Bombyx mori: one gene and its partners. The main gene of each other region encodes a partner of the protein of the gene in region 3 in a complex. Links are inferred from orthologs where the notes say so. Each region holds a gene or a part of one and is shown on either strand. Other genes may lie near its edges.

What was found.
Region 1: protein lin-54 homolog (region 3) and Myb share a complex: the UniProt entries of both Drosophila melanogaster proteins name them as parts of the DREAM complex. The link is inferred for Bombyx mori from reciprocal best matches to the Drosophila melanogaster genes mip120 and Myb.
Region 2: protein lin-54 homolog (region 3) and histone deacetylase HDAC1 share a complex: the UniProt entries of both Drosophila melanogaster proteins name them as parts of the DREAM complex. The link is inferred for Bombyx mori from reciprocal best matches to the Drosophila melanogaster genes mip120 and HDAC1.
Region 4: protein lin-54 homolog (region 3) and transcription factor Dp-1 share a complex: the UniProt entries of both Drosophila melanogaster proteins name them as parts of the DREAM complex. The link is inferred for Bombyx mori from reciprocal best matches to the Drosophila melanogaster genes mip120 and Dp.

Annotation. Positions count from the first base shown.
Region 1 is NC_085134.1:9,635,498-9,639,788, forward strand, and holds the start of Myb (Myb transcription factor), read right to left. Parts: upstream 2,801-4,291; coding exon 2,651-2,800; intron 986-2,650; coding exon 836-985; intron 1-835. UniProt on the Drosophila melanogaster protein: DNA-binding protein that specifically recognizes the sequence 5'-YAAC[GT]G-3'. Component of the DREAM complex, a multiprotein complex that can both act as a transcription activator or repressor depending on the context.
Region 2 is NC_085117.1:13,611,294-13,615,508, forward strand, and holds the start of histone deacetylase HDAC1, read right to left. Parts: upstream 2,801-4,215; 5' UTR 2,586-2,800; coding exon 2,537-2,585; intron 2,170-2,536; coding exon 2,057-2,169; intron 1,982-2,056; coding exon 1,864-1,981; intron 1,070-1,863; coding exon 969-1,069; intron 244-968; coding exon 1-243. UniProt on the Drosophila melanogaster protein: Catalyzes the deacetylation of lysine residues on the N-terminal part of the core histones (H2A, H2B, H3 and H4).
Region 3 is NC_085109.1:10,692,804-10,695,760, forward strand, and holds the end of protein lin-54 homolog, read right to left. Parts: intron 2,697-2,957; coding exon 2,557-2,696; intron 1,964-2,556; coding exon 1,744-1,963; exon of another isoform or gene 1,696-1,743; intron 1,099-1,695; coding exon 1,087-1,098; 3' UTR 501-1,086; downstream 1-500. Other genes in the region: SET domain-containing protein SmydA-8, read right to left, coding at 229-272. UniProt on the Drosophila melanogaster protein: Component of the DREAM complex, a multiprotein complex that can both act as a transcription activator or repressor depending on the context. In follicle cells, the complex plays a central role in the site-specific DNA replication at the chorion loci.
Region 4 is NC_085110.1:8,925,314-8,929,571, reverse strand, and holds the start of transcription factor Dp-1, read right to left. Parts: upstream 2,801-4,258; 5' UTR 2,442-2,800; coding exon 2,393-2,441; intron 2,110-2,392; coding exon 1,982-2,109; intron 1,424-1,981; coding exon 1,372-1,423; intron 1-1,371. UniProt on the Drosophila melanogaster protein: Component of the DREAM complex, a multiprotein complex that can both act as a transcription activator or repressor depending on the context. In follicle cells, the complex plays a central role in the site-specific DNA replication at the chorion loci.

The sequences.
Region 1 (4,291 bases), on a different chromosome or scaffold from region 3:
CGAAGGGAAAAATTTATAGATGAATTATTGTAACTTTTATACCGTAATTTATAAAAACAGAGATTGGAAAAAAGTTAGTTAATTAACAATGGTGTAAATTTTTGAAAAATCGATATAAAATTTTTTTTTCACCGAGGTTTTTTTCGTTCAAGTGTTTAGATTACACCATAATTTATTCAAATTTTTAAATTGTTATTTAATACTATAAAAAAAATATTTTAGGTGATATACCGGCTTTTTAGACGGCGCGCCTATGGCGTAACGACCTCGCGGAGCGCTATTTTCAGCGTTAATTTTTTTTTATAAATAATAGAGATAGAATTCTGGAAGTTGGGACTTTTTTATTGGAAATTTCCTCCTCTTTCAGGATCTTTTTTTCAAAATTCCTTAAATATCATTATTTTAGAAATAATTAAGGAAAAACCAAATTCCTTTTTTTTTAAATCTTATTTTGTTTATAACAATCGCAATTTTTTATGTGCTAATAAGCCCTTAAAAAACATTTTTGTAGACATCATTCCGCATCCAATGAGCTATCGTACATATTTTTAGGAGCTTTATGTCTATTTAACACGTTTTTGAACTTGTTGACTAGACTATTATATTATTGTTTAATATAACCATAATATGTTCCCTAACTATTCGCTAGTAGCTAGCTCACGGGCTCAACCTGAGAGAATTTGCTAACACTAGGCATAACAAGAGCAGTACTTCGAAGAATCTACCACCGGATCGGAATCGCGACCCACTGAGAAGATCCGGCGGGAAACTCAGTGGGCAATACCATAATACCTAATAGCAGTTTCGAAAAAAGCCAAAACAACTTGACACTTACCTCTTTGGTCCAAGGGCCTTTGACTAGTTCAGGGTTGACGACTTTCGTCCATCTTTGAAGGCACTGAACGTCGGAACGGTCAGGAAACTCGGCCGCTATGCGCTCCCAATTCTCTTTGTAAGTCCTAACATATGCTTTTAGTTTCTTGTCCTGAAAAAGAAAGCAAGATTCTTAAGTTCAGGTCTGTATCGACACTACTTTTTTTTTATCCTAGCTAAGCTGAAGGTCTTGAAAGACCATTTCAGCGCAACCTTAACTAGTAGGTGAGCTCACGGGGCTCAAACCTGACGATGTTGCTAACACGAACCCTAACAAGAACTGTGCTTCGCAGAATCTAGCACCGGTTCGGAAACGCGACCCACTGAGAAGATCAGGCGAGAAACTCAGTGGGCTGTGTCTGTTTAATCCACACTACCGACTTAACACCTGAGCTCCCTAGTTACTATGCTGAGTTGCGCCTATCTTATGCCAATTTCTACCGCAAACCAATCATGTGTTCCAGTTTGAAGAACATGTTAACATGGGTGTACATTGTACTATGGTGCCCATAAGCTCGATCCTTCACATCGGATGGATCGTGAGCTCATCAAACGATCTATGACCCTCAATTTCCCCAGTGACTGGACAGAAGTTACCACTTACGTTCGGAAACTAGACTTTTTCGTCAACAATAAAAGAAAACCCATGAGATGAATTCCTTTGTAAAATTACGACACAAAATTAGTCCGCAGCGATTGCGAATTCTTACTGGACTGGAATTATGTAAGGTAGTTCCTTCATTGTACTTCATAACCGGTTATTCAATACGCGATAATGCACGTGGAAAATGTTGGTTTCAATGACTCTCATTACATTTGAAAAAAAATTACAACAAACTAGCCTATGTGCAGAGATGTATTATGTAAAACTCGTTTTTCGGAATTCAAATTAGCCGTTTTCAGACTGCAAAGGTTATTGTTTTGCATAAACATATGATTTCAAATGAACAAGCATTTATAAGATTGTGTAAGTAATTTATAAGGGTAGGTACTAGCCGACCCGGGAAGCTTCTTAGTGTCTCAATCGATAAATAAAAGATCTAAACTTTTATATAGAATAAACTTACAACAAACAAAAGGAATCCGTCCGACGGGGAAGACATCAAAGGAAAAACAAAATTGTTATTTTTATTTAATTCCGAGCATTTTCAAATTTATCTACCTTTTAAAACCTTCTCTGGACTTCCACAAATAATTCAGGACCAAAATTAGCCAAATCGGTCCAGCCGTTCTCGAGTTTTAGCGAGACTAACGAACAGCAATTCATTTTTATACATATAGATAGATAGATTGATTTGAAGCAGTCATTCGATGCAGTTTTAAGTACGGGATAACCGTTATTCATTACAATTGAGGATCTTATCTCGTGTCTGAATGTGAAAGCTTTAACCCTGTGACGTCTTTAAACTCTAAAAACCATGAGGCTTTGTAGATTTATTGTAACTTCTCATCTCCTTTACTGGGCCACATTTGAACAGACCAAGTGATGCTATTTGCTAGAGCCTAGCGTTCCGTTATCGATTCCAAGGGACTGATGAACCGCTTGGTAAAACCAAAGCCAAGCCTAATACCGAATCGCGCCGTATCCAAGAAGTACCACCACGACTGTTGGGCAACAAAAACGCGAAAAATCATTCCTCCAAATTATATTTGGGTCATAGCCCCAACATTAACGCAAGAATTTCAAGTTCAAGAACGTAAGCCATTTCATTCTATTATTAGATACAAGACGTTTACGGACATTTGAGTTTTGCGTTGGAACATTTCTAAGCATTACCTCCTCTTTACTCCACCTTCCCCTGTTGATATTCTTCCTCGACCCAGTGCTTTTGGTTGAAGTCTGCACATCCTCGTAAGCCGCCGTCGAGTCCTCTGAATATTCGCTCGTCTCGCTGTCATAGCCGCTTTTTCTGTTGACAATGAACATTCAGAAGCTATAGACAAATGTGACATTAAATTTTAATGACGATATTTTTTTTTATTGCTTAGATGGGTGGACGAGCTCACAGTCCACCCGGTGTTAATGGTTACTGGATCCCATAGACATCTACAACGTAAATCCGCCACCCACCTTGGGGCATAAGTTCTAAGATCTCAGAATTGTTACAACGGCTGCCTCACCCTTCAAACCGAAACGCATTACAGCTTCACGGCAGAAATAGGCGGGGTGGTGGTACCTACCCGTAAAGTGTAATATAAAAGTAATTCCACAGATTGGCGACTGGCCTAATAAATAATTAGCACATACGCTTCAAGGACTAGTCGTTATCCCTTTCTCACTTAGAATTTGTGTCACGCTATATTAACCTAATAAATACAAAACCAAACCTTAACTACCCAGTTTCATACGTAGCATCATACGGAATAAAGCACGCACACAACATTTCTTATCTCAGAAGACATCATTTTACAAAGAGCTTACCGAAACACTGCCTATCGCGATAAGGACTAAGGGACCTTCATGTGTATAGCTAAGAATATTCACTTTTGTGGACACATCCACGAGTGTCTTATTGCTGTGTATTACGCTTTTAAAAGTATGATGTGTGGTCTATTTTTGTAACTAACTAAAAACGATTCATTATAATTCCAGATGAAATACAGGTTTGTAGACGGATTGTTGCCGACAAAAGATATCGTGGTACAGCAGTGAGTTTCTCGTTTGATTCGGTTAGCATGATATAGTTTTTATTGTTGTGTGAATAAATTCAAAAATTTTCTTACAAAGTAAAAACAATTCTTATTTAAAACTAGACGAAGACAAAGCTAATGATAAAAATAAAGCCTTACTAAATGCAATTTTTGATCTAATAGATATATGAAGTTAAGAATGTATTTCTTTACTGGTGAACCAACGAAGTTTTTTTTTTATTGCTTAGATGGGTGGACGAGCTCACAGCCCACCTGGTGTTAAGTGGTTACTGGAGCCCATAGACATCTACAACGTAAATGCGCCACCCACCTTGAGATATAAGTTCTAAGGTCTCACAATAGTTACAACGGCTGCCCCCCCTTCAATCCGAAACGCATTACCGCAGAAATAGGCGGGATGGTGGTACCTAGCCGCGTGGACTCACAAAAGGTCCTACCACCAGTAATTACGCAAATTATAATTTTGCGGGTTTGATTTTTATTACACGATGTTATTCCTTCACCGTGGAAGTCAATCGTGAACATTTGTTGAGTACGTATTTCATTAGAAAAATTGGTACCCGCCTGAGATTCGAACACCGATACATCGCTCAACACGAATGCACCGCACATCTTATCCTTTAGGCCACGACGACTTTAAGGACTGTTGACAGCGACATACAGTGATGCGTTACCTTAACTGGTGGGCACAAAACACAATTGGTCAAATCGTCTACACCAGTCTACTCCAAGTAATTAGACTGTTGAGTCGACCATGACCGTGAGC
Region 2 (4,215 bases), on a different chromosome or scaffold from region 3:
TGTTCCAGGAAAATATTCTCCATATTTATGAAAGGAAACGGTCATTACTCTGTCCGTGGTGTAGAAAGCTTCTTCAACACCATCACCATGATGCACATCTATGTCAATATATAGTACTCTTTGATGGTATTTCAGCAACTCCAATATGCCAAGAACAATGTCATTAACATAACAGAAACCTGACGCTTCAGACTTCTTTGCATGATGGAGGCCACCACCCCAGTTTATGCATATTTCTGAGGCCTAAAACAATTTATTTTTTTTATTTTTTATTAGGCTCACAATACACATCACAAGCTAAAGATACATAAAAAACACAAATAAAAAAAAAACAAAATCTGGCTTGCAACATAAGTTATGTGCGCACGACAAAACTATAAAGTGCTGAATTTGTATATCAACGTTCCTTACAATTACGACAAAACAACACGATAACGAAAACTAATCTAACTTATAGTGTAAGGAAAAAAAAAATTATAACAATAATAAAATCAGTACAAACATGTTTTAATTTTATAGTTATAAATAACTATAAATGAAACCTATATAACTATATAATTATAAAATTAAGAAAACTTGCAGAATCAAATTAGAAATCTCACAAGATAAGAAAAATCTATTGTTTTATTGTTTTAAAATCAATATAAACACAATTTAAGTGTTCTATTCATCTCTGACACAGTATCAGTTAATATCAGGTTGGGGCTCATCTGTCTTTAACCATTTTAAAGTTAAAACACTAAAAAGGTAAAATTATAATAATTTTAACAAATGAAAATAATACTTTCTCATTGGCATATGTAAGTAGAGGATGTAATTAAAACTACTTTTATTGTTTAATGTCATGTATACAATTGCTGTTATATTATTTCTGATTTTTTAAATAAATTACAGTTTTCATCGCCACTAATTAAACTGAAAAACTTGTTTTAACAAAATAAAATAAATAAAAAAATAAGACTAATTACCTGCTTATTCAGTTTTACAGCTGCTGCAACTGAACCCCCAGCAGACAACTGACAAAATTCATACAGGCCATCAAAAACAGGACAATCTTCACCTACATTAACTGCAAAATGTATATTAAAATTAGTCACATTCAATAAGTTGAATATTTTCCATATCATCCCTGAATGTGATCAGGCACTAATAAAGGTATGTAGTTTATAGGATATTACCCATCAGTAGATTGAGGGATAGGTCAAAAATAATTTGGTTGATGCTTTGAACTATAGGAACTTTAACAAAAAACCAATAGGATTGTACACCATTTTCACCATACTCTTTAAATAAATATGTACATTATAAAGGTTTTCTTCCTGCAATAAACAGCAGATACATTGGTTTCAACTAAACAGGCTGCAGACAAGGAGAGTGCTCATACAGGAAAGTAGTTTTTTTTCTTTATAATTTTGGTATGTTATATCTATACTTATCAAGCAGTGTGACAATTGACTGACACAACTAGATGCTGTGGTATAGTCAAAGATTTGAATTTAGGAATTTTTTTCAGTGTCATAGCAGTGAATCAAAGGAATTTTCCACAATTTTACACAAAATATGCTGTATTCAATCTATTATTTTCATCATCTTTTTATACAAATTATGAATATAGTAAGATTCCACTGTAGTAGATTCACATTATTGTAAGCTGAACATAGTTGAAACTGTGGGACAAATCTATTATAATATTATACACTGAAAAAATATAGTTTAATATAAAATAACACACTAAATAAGTAACTCTACTGTTATATTAGCTTTAACAGGTAAGTCTTCAAGGGTAATACATTTTCATTAAAGCATTTATGAATAATTAATACTTTTTTTAAATAATATTGATAATAATTAGTAATAACTTACATCTCTGCATTTGTTTGTTGTACTCAGAAACATTGTCAGGTCGAATAGAACGCAGGAATCTAATGTAATCATCTGAATGGAATTTTGTCATTTCATCAGCTGTGGCTTTGTGAGGCCTCTGTTTAAAAATATATAATTATAAAATCTCAAATCATTGAAGAACTTACACTTAAAAGGTAATTTCAGTACTCACATAAATCTCCATTTTTCGATAGAGTCCATAGTTGAGGAGTAAATTGTGGGTCATACGTATGCGGTGAGGTTTCATTGGATGCCCTTGTCCGTAATAGTAGTTTCCAATATCGCCTTTAATAAAAATAACACGCATTATTTTCAACTTTTTATTAACATGTTACTTAAATCATTTTACGGCTTCATATTTAGCCGTCTGTACCTCGTACATCGTAATACGAGCAAGTCCGTGTACCCAATAGGAACGCGGAACGCTGTACAGACGTCGTAAAATGAAACAATGAACTGAGTTAACAATGTCATAAAAATCCTAAGACAAGCTTTAAAATCTCTGAAGTTCTTAAAAGAGCTAGGCCGTGTGGAAATTTGTATTTAAAATATGAATACTACGCATATTAATTATTTATAATACAAAAACTAATTCTTAAGTTACTAGCGATGTAATGGAGATCCGTGGCGGGTAAAACTTTATTTTACTTACTGTCATAATAGTAACACACTCTTTTCTTACTGTGCGGTTGCATAGACATTTTTAATTATTTCTTCAACGGTTACTTTTTAATAAAATTATTACAATATACTTAAAAATGTTAAAGAGAAATAAAAACCACACCGCTGTGCTTTAATTTGACAATCCACACAAAAAAACTTCATAAAATAATTGAAAGATGAACAAAATGCAACTTCAGAGTACGACAATTTCATTACAGTGAAGTTGACTGACCTAAAAGTTACAGATATTCAATGAACGAATGAATGAATTGATTAAATTGAATGATTTTTAGTAGATTAAATATAGAAATCAAGTGAAGCCACAGTTCACAGTAGGTAGTAGCATTACAATCATAAGCATGAATTACTTGGCAGCTAGAACAGCCCCTTAGGCCAGCGATCGGCTTGCGGCTCGCATGCTGCTCTTTAGCTCCTCAACTGCGGCTCTTCCGCGAAATGTTTACCTAGTTCAGGCACGGAATATCCCTCATTATCTTATTTTTTTAAGAGAAGAGCAAACACTTTTAAAATACAAGGTTATAAAATTCTGTTAGAAAAATGGTTCTTTGATTAAATTTCAATTGTGTGTCTCTCTATTTGGCTCCCAGGGAATAGGCAGGGGAAAAAAATAGATGGTAATATTAATAGATTTTTATTGTTAGTAGCATTTTTTTTATTGCTTAGATGGGTGGACGAGCTCACAACCCACTTGGTCTTAAGTGGTTACTGGAGCCCATAGACATCTACAACGTAAATGCGCCACCCACCTTTCTAAGGTCTCAAGTATATTTATCTATATTGTTCAAGGTAGCAAGTTCAAGTTCCAAGTGGAAAAGTCTATACTGAGGGAAAATTTTCATATCATCATCATCATCATCATCATTGAATTTATTGGCAATATACTTATGCTGACAACCATACGGTCTACTTGATGGTGTGTGGTCACCACAATACACAACAAAACTTACCTACTGCATTTTTTATATAAAATTTAATAGAACCATTCGTAGAATTCCGCACGTTGCCTCTTATGTTATTAGAAATACACGGTCAACATAAAGGATACGATATTCTAAAAAACTACCACAGCTGAATCTTTATATATATATATATATTCATTTTTTTAGCAATTCATTTATCTATATATATAAAAATGAATTGTTGTTCTAACTTAGTCTCGCTAAAACTCGAGAACGGCTGAACCGATTTGACTAATTTTGGTCTTGAATTATTTGTGGAAGACCAGAGAAGGTTTAAAAGGTAGATAAATATGAAAATGCTCGGAATTAAATAAAAATAACAATTTTGTTTTTCCTTTGATGTGTCCCCGGTCGGGTGAATTTCTTTTTTCTTTCATTGATCGATTGAGGTACTACGAAGTCTGCCAGGTCAGCTAGTTTTAAATAAAATTGTAACAAAATGTATCTTTGGGAATTGAAAGATTGAAGAAGCTGCAGTTTACGGCAAGTGCGTAATTTTATACTCCTTACGTACATTCCTAATTATGTCCAAGGAAATGGTAGAATTCACCTTGGAAGGTAGAAGAAACTTAGGAACTAGAAATCATATTAATATTGTAACACTGAAATTAGTTCACGTGAACTTGTAGCAAAGGTTTCAGGAATTTGTACCTTAAAAATTTTCATTCTTCAATTCAACTTAAGGATG
Region 3 (2,957 bases):
GCACACAACTGAGCACACTGAATAACTTGACATTTATAAATAAATTTAAAATTATTTTGCTGTGAATTTAGCATAATTTTTTTTTGTAATGTTCAAAAATCCTTTAGCAATTTATGCAAAGGATGTGACAATAAACTCAACACTAAAAGGATCAAAATTGACACAATATATTGGAGATTAAAAAAAAAAACATCACTTGAATACCAAAAATATTTGAATGCAACTGACCTGCCCAGTTGCTCTGAATGCCGAACTTCATATTTGTTGGTCATATTGAACTGTTTGACACCACAAAGCGCTTTATTATGAACGTTAGGTGAAATGACCTACAATAACTCAGAACGTGCGAACGCAGTGTTACGTTCCACGTGTAGTTACCGTCCGCCTTATTTATAGCGGTGCTATTTTTAACCCAAATATTTCGCCCGCTAAATCTAAGTAACTGGATCATTGTAAAGTTACCATTGTTACAAACTAAAAATGAAATAAAACAAAATAAATTTTCTGTAAAAATCCATTTATCGCCACTATACACTATAATTACCTTCCTCCTAAGGTATCCTTAAGACTAGTAAAACATATTATTTACAGCAACATTATTTACATTTAAAAACAACAATAAAAATCTCTTAAATTGATTTATAAAAGAATCCATTTTCAAAAAGTAGATACAAATATTCACAATTAACTACGTTTACGAAACTTGTCAAGTATTTATTTATAACAGTCTTTTGGAAGCAATTACACTACACCTAAACTTTATATTTAATATTGCATTTATGTTATTCATATAATGTTTACATGTAAAAAGGTTCTATTTATTCCAAATTAAACTACTGTATTCGTCAGATTAAAATATTTACATTTAATTTCTTTAAAAATGTCAAGACGTATATTTGGTACGTAATATCTAACTGGTTAACTAAATTTTAGCAAGCAAATTGATTTTTCTTATAAATAGAATGGCTGGTTGAATAAAAGATATTAGCCGTAGGATGACAGTACGTTATTTGAGTAAAGTTAACCTAAGGTTTTGCGGAGTTTTAGAGATGTTTTCATCTTCAGCGCTGGCAAATTTCAAATCTGTCACGTTTGTCCCTGTGATAAAATCGATATGTATTAAAATAATATGTTTTGTTTATGTAATCTATTATTTTAATATCGGTTTAAGGAAGGATTCCTTTCTCCCTATATCTAAAGGGATAACTTTTGTAGACTGGAATTTTTTTTAAGTGAAGAATTATTGTAATGATTAGTAACACATAATAATAATAATTGTGAGCTATCGTTTCAACGGCTCACAAACCTCAAAGAAATTTCTTAATTTACTGGAGCTACCAGTTATCAGTGGCTGATTAAAAGTCCAGAGCGCCCTAGGCAATCACTTTATCGGCGCCACTGTACCGGCCATAAATGGCTATTATAATACTATAAGTTTTAACTAGTTGTTTTTGCAATTACGATGACGTTGTATCATCAAACCCTAGACTTTAGTAGACCAGGACCCTTGTACTTACGCTAATGCGCGAATGAAATACAAACAAACCTGCAATATTGTATAAATACGAGTATATCGATGCTTGTGCGATGTTATTTTCTTTATTTATTAAAAAATTCTGAGCTTGCGCTCCCCTTGTAACTACACGCCCCTAGGCACGTGCCTAATTTGCCTTACGGATAATCCGCCTCTGCCAGTTATACAGTGTATATGTTCCGGTCACGACCGCGTCACGTGGCACTCACCACATCGAGCAGCAAGGAGTCGTGATGCGAAGCCCCGATGATCTCGTGCAGACAGCGCGCGAACTCTTCAAGCACGTCTCCGAGCGCGTCACGGGGCGCGTCACGCGGCGAGTCACGGGGCGCGTCACGCGGAGAGTCGTCCCGTCGCTCCACGGCGGCGGCCACCAGACACTGGCACACGGCCTCGATCACCTCCATCGTCATGAACGTGCACGGATGTCTGCAAGCCACATTAGTTTCAACACTAACAATCGCGACAAGGAAACAAATGTTAAGGGTAAGTTGTTATCTTGTGAATACAAAACGAATGTTTACCAGAACTCTACTGATAAAAGCAAAGCAGGCAAAGCTCCATTGTGACTGTCACTGGTGTGAAGTACACGCAAAAAAAAACTTGGTGCACGTGAATGAAGTGAAACTTCTTTTTCGATGTGTAGTATTGTGGTTTTCTTCATTTTTCATCCTTAAATCAGATTGCTCTTGTAATAGGGAATGATGTGTATAAGAAATGCCACATCTTCAACATTTATATTATATTTAAAATTATCGGTTTTTATTTATTTATTACTTCTTTAAAATATTGGACTCTACTCGTTGCTAACGCTCGCGCTGGCCTGTAACAGGTTATATTACGCGCGTGCGTTCGAGTGCCACGCATTCACTCTCGCTCTATCTCTTTCTATTTCATGGTAGCGTTAAACGTTTAACGCAACCTTGTTGGAAGTCACTTTAGAAGTTTCACTTCAAACATTAGTAGGGTGTTAAATATTCCTTGAAATGGTTGCTAGCGTGCCTCGCCTATTGAATACTGACTTGGGCTGCCCCAGCAGGGCCGGGCGGAAGGTCGAGTCGCTGTCCTGCGTGCGGAGGCGCATGTCGCGGCGCCGCTCCACCAACTCCTGCACGTTGCGACACCCCACGCACTTACACATCGCCGTACACGCTATCTTCGCCTGCATACACACCACATAAATGAGGTCGTCATTATATGTTAGAATTGTATAATTTCTAAACGCATCTTTATGTTAATACCAACTGACAGCTGTCACTCGTCTAATATGTGTCAACGTCATTCGTGTGCTCGCCCCTTTTTCTTCTAGCGCCGTCAATGAGTACTGACACAAAAAGTGTATCTCCGTTAAAATAAAAACTATCCATGAAAATCTGCATCTTTATTATAAGAAACCCAGACGATCACTCCAACATTATAATAT
Region 4 (4,258 bases), on a different chromosome or scaffold from region 3:
AGTCGGAGTTCCCACCTGACTGCACACTGTGCAAAGTAGATCTCCGGCAGGGAACTATCACACCGGGGGATGTTCGGTGGTGTGGCACCCCCGTCGTTCAGTCGAGTTCGAGGCGAAGAGTCCCCTATAACCTCCATATACGCAAATTACCCTTCCCTATTCACGGTTACTGTATTCGCGGCATATTTTTATTATGCTTCAACCCCGCGAATAATAAACTTTTACTGTATAGAGACTAGTAAACGTGATCTTTGACTATTGCAAAACAGCCTTTAAGAACAAGGTTAGACAGTGGTGACAATAATTACAGACTCAACAGGAAAATCTCCACTGCGAAATCGGAATCGTAAGACACCTGATGAATTTATATCAAGTGATGTGGCTATGACAAGGTTCAAAACCTCCATTAATCATTTGGATCTTATTGTGTCTTAAGACATTGTGTAATATCTGTTAGTGGGAAGTATCTTAAGACCACTTGAGTAAATAGATATCACTATTTTGGCTATTTCTGCCACAAAGCAGTCGAGAGTTCTGGTTTGATGGGCCGGACAGCCCTTATATAAAACAATTGATATTACAACTTCAGATCTCTAAGAGGGGTGATACTTATTGATTTATATGTATGTTTATATTGTAGGCATAATTTCTCACCATAATTTTGAAATGTATAATGAAGTGAATTGATGGACTAATTCAAATTATATAAGTTTGTTCATAAATCAGCTTATCTAACATTAATTACCACCATCATGTGGATTATTTTAATATTGGATAGTCAATCAAGATGTTCTTTTTATAGTGTATGTATGTATTAAAAATTAGATTATGTTCCATAGCAGAAGTATTGATACTTGTAAACAGTGATACTAAAACACCCAGAACTAAGATTAATATAGTGTGCAAAATTTTAGTAACAAAATACTTCCTAAATTTGTATATATTTGACATTCATTACTACTTGCTCACTTTATTTTTATTAAATTTTTTTGGATGTAGATGTACCTAACAATTCGCAAAGCACTAAATTACATGTATGATTACATTGAGAAATGAGGTTGAAGTCTCAAATGTATGCAAGAAGCTAAATTATTTGCTATTACACCATGCCTATTTCTGCTGTGAAGCAGATGCATTTCACTTTGAAGGGTGGAGTATATGTTATTATACTGTAAAAACTGACATTTTAGAACTTGTGTCTCAAGGTTGACGGCGGCATTGACTGTTGATGTCTCCGGTAACCACTTAACACCGGGTGAGCCATGAGCTCATCCAGCCATCTAAGCAATAAAATATACAGTTATATATTAAATAGGATTCTTGGTTACTTTCTACTTTCTGTCAACAAACCCTGTCATGCTGAAAACTTACTTTGTTTGTATTGAACAATTCCAAATCTTGCAAAACTGGCTGGAACAGGTATCTGTTAAAGAGTATACTCATATAAAACTGAATGGTAAATGATAATCAAATTGCTAATTCTGGTTTGGTACCTATTGACCTATGTAAGATGTAAGTACTGAGACTTTAGAACTAGTCTCGTGGTGGATGGAGGCAATTACATTGTAGATGTCCATAAGCTCCAGTAACCATTTTAGACCAGGTGGATCATGAGCTCATCCACCTATCTAGTAATAAAAAAATACAAGAACTAGGGAGTCCTCATTAGTTGTAGAATATTTTTCAAATTCAAATCAAATTACAGTAGGGCATAAGGGCATAGGTAGGCTCAGTTCACCCAACTAAATCTAAATTATATTAGAACCCCAAAAGCTTAGGTTAACCACAGTGACAAAGGAAAGTAATTATTATTATATTTCATGTCATTTCGTTCGTTCTGTTTATTAAAAGTTTATTCAACATATACATTACTACTCTAACTAAAAGTTTAGTCTAATGAAGCGTAAATAAATAATGTTTATAATAATATATGTAAAACATATAGTGGTTTCATATATAAAAAAATTGCGAATAATCATACCTTTGCACATTTGACCGGAACAGGTGATACAGTAACAATTTTAACTGGACTCTCTTTCGGTTCTGCTTCGATTTGAGCAATCAGTGGTTTACTTGTAGTTTCCAGCACTTTCACCACTTGAGGAAGTCCTGCAGGACATATCATCGAGTCTTTATGTATTTATAATCTAAATTAAAGACTTACTGAAGCGTCGGTGCCATCAGCTGATTGAAACAAAAAATATCTCCGTAATAAACAAACGCTGTGATGATGTTTATTTCGGCAGAATAAAAGGCGTCGAAGATAATAACTAAAGCTAAGCTACTAGTCTTGAGTTTGGTCCAATTGATCTAGGCTTTGTTTGCAATACAAAGTCTTAAATCCGATAGGAAAAACAAGTGTCACGTAAACTAAAGTAGCACCTCTACTAACCGTTAGCATCATGGATAAGGTAATTTATTGTACTATTAGTTTGGGACATTTTCTCCACACTCCTTGAATTTGGACGTCCATTTATGTTTCATAAGAACAACGTAGGACAATTGTTGATGACGAAACAAATTAAATAATACCTACTCAATTCGTATGACCAAAATCACAGGTCAAAATGGCGACAAAAATATGGGTTAGAACCAAAACTATAGCCAATTTTTGAACCGATAAATGAACCTTTTACAGTTTAAAGTTTCTATTAATATATGTAACATTGATAAACTTTTAACATTTAATTAAAGTATATTAAATGCGCGAATCCAAGCACCATCACCAACGCAGCGCGGGACGAGAAGGAAACGATGCAAGAGGCGGGATTTTTGGATTTACCAGCTGATTGGATGAGGTAGTTCACGTGGTACTATTCAATAGTTGCTAGATGTGAAAAAAAAACAAAAAGGCGCCAATTCTCAATCGCCATTTTGTTTTTAGGTGTAGATGTACGCATTTAATGTCCTTGCCATCGCAAGAATTTAAAAATGTTTTCCGAAGTGCGCCATGCATGAGGTTAATTTAATTATTAAACTTCATGCATGGCCCCATGTCTTTCTTGTTCATAATAGTCTGTTCGGATTCAGTTTCTTCACGTTGTTACGTTATTTTTCTACAATGTTATGGTCACTTACTTTTTTTTTAGTGGTATAGTATCATTTCTGATATTTTTACGATTATGAAACAATATCACTACTCGTTCTTCCAGTATTTATTGTAGAACCTTGTGTATATATAAAAACTAAGCTACCATAAAAAAGCATTTATGAGATTACAATAATTTTTTTCCGGCCCTTGTTGGCAGACGAGCATACGGCCCACCTGATGGTGAGTGGATGGACTTCAGCAATGCCAGGGGCAGAGCCAAGCCGCTGCCTACCGCTTAATACTCTCCACAAGCCTCGTTTGAAGACGTACATGTCATAGCGCACGGGGAAACATCGTGGAGGGAAGCTCATTCCATAGCCGGATAGTGCGTAGCAAAAAAGACCTCTGGAAACGCACTGTGGATGACCGCAGTGGCTCCAGATAGTATCATCTCGAACAATTCCTCAGAGCACTCCTCATGGAATATACGGTACAAAATACAGAGGGAACCGAAGTCCCTCCGTAGACCCAGAGGTTCCAAACGATCCGTGAGAATGGGATTATCGACAATCCGAACGGCCATCCTCTGTATGGAGTCAAATGGCAGAAGCTGGTATTTTGGAGCCCCGGCCCAGAGATGGGAGCAGTACTTCACGCGAGGCCGGACTTGTGCTTTATAAAGCAAAAGCCTTTGTTCAGGCATGAAGTACCGCTTCGCTCTATTGAAGACTCCCAGCATTTTGGACGCCAACTTGGCTTTGCCTTCCAAATGACTCCGAAACTGGACATCGCTCGAAATGTTGACCCCAAGTATCCCGATACTCTCGGAAGATTGCAGGGATACTCCTTGGAATTGCGGCGCCATGACTATTTAATGTCTACAAATATGATTATAGGTTGAATCTCAATAGTCTGCGGGGATGTATTATTAAATAAACATCATCAACTCGATACTTCTTAAAAAACACTATCTCAAACTCACATACTCGTTTTTCCTAAAACCAACAGCTATCGAACCATAGCTCAAACTGTTATTGTAATAGATTGAGATACCGTTAGCCCCTTAGGTTGAATGCCCAATGCAGGTAATAAATATGAGACTATAAGAACTTTAGAGGTTGAGAAACATTAGTACATGTCGATTTGATCAAACAGAGATACTTTTCTTTTTAAATATAAATAAATCAACAGTTAAAATTAAATTTTTTTAGACTGAAATTTCCCATG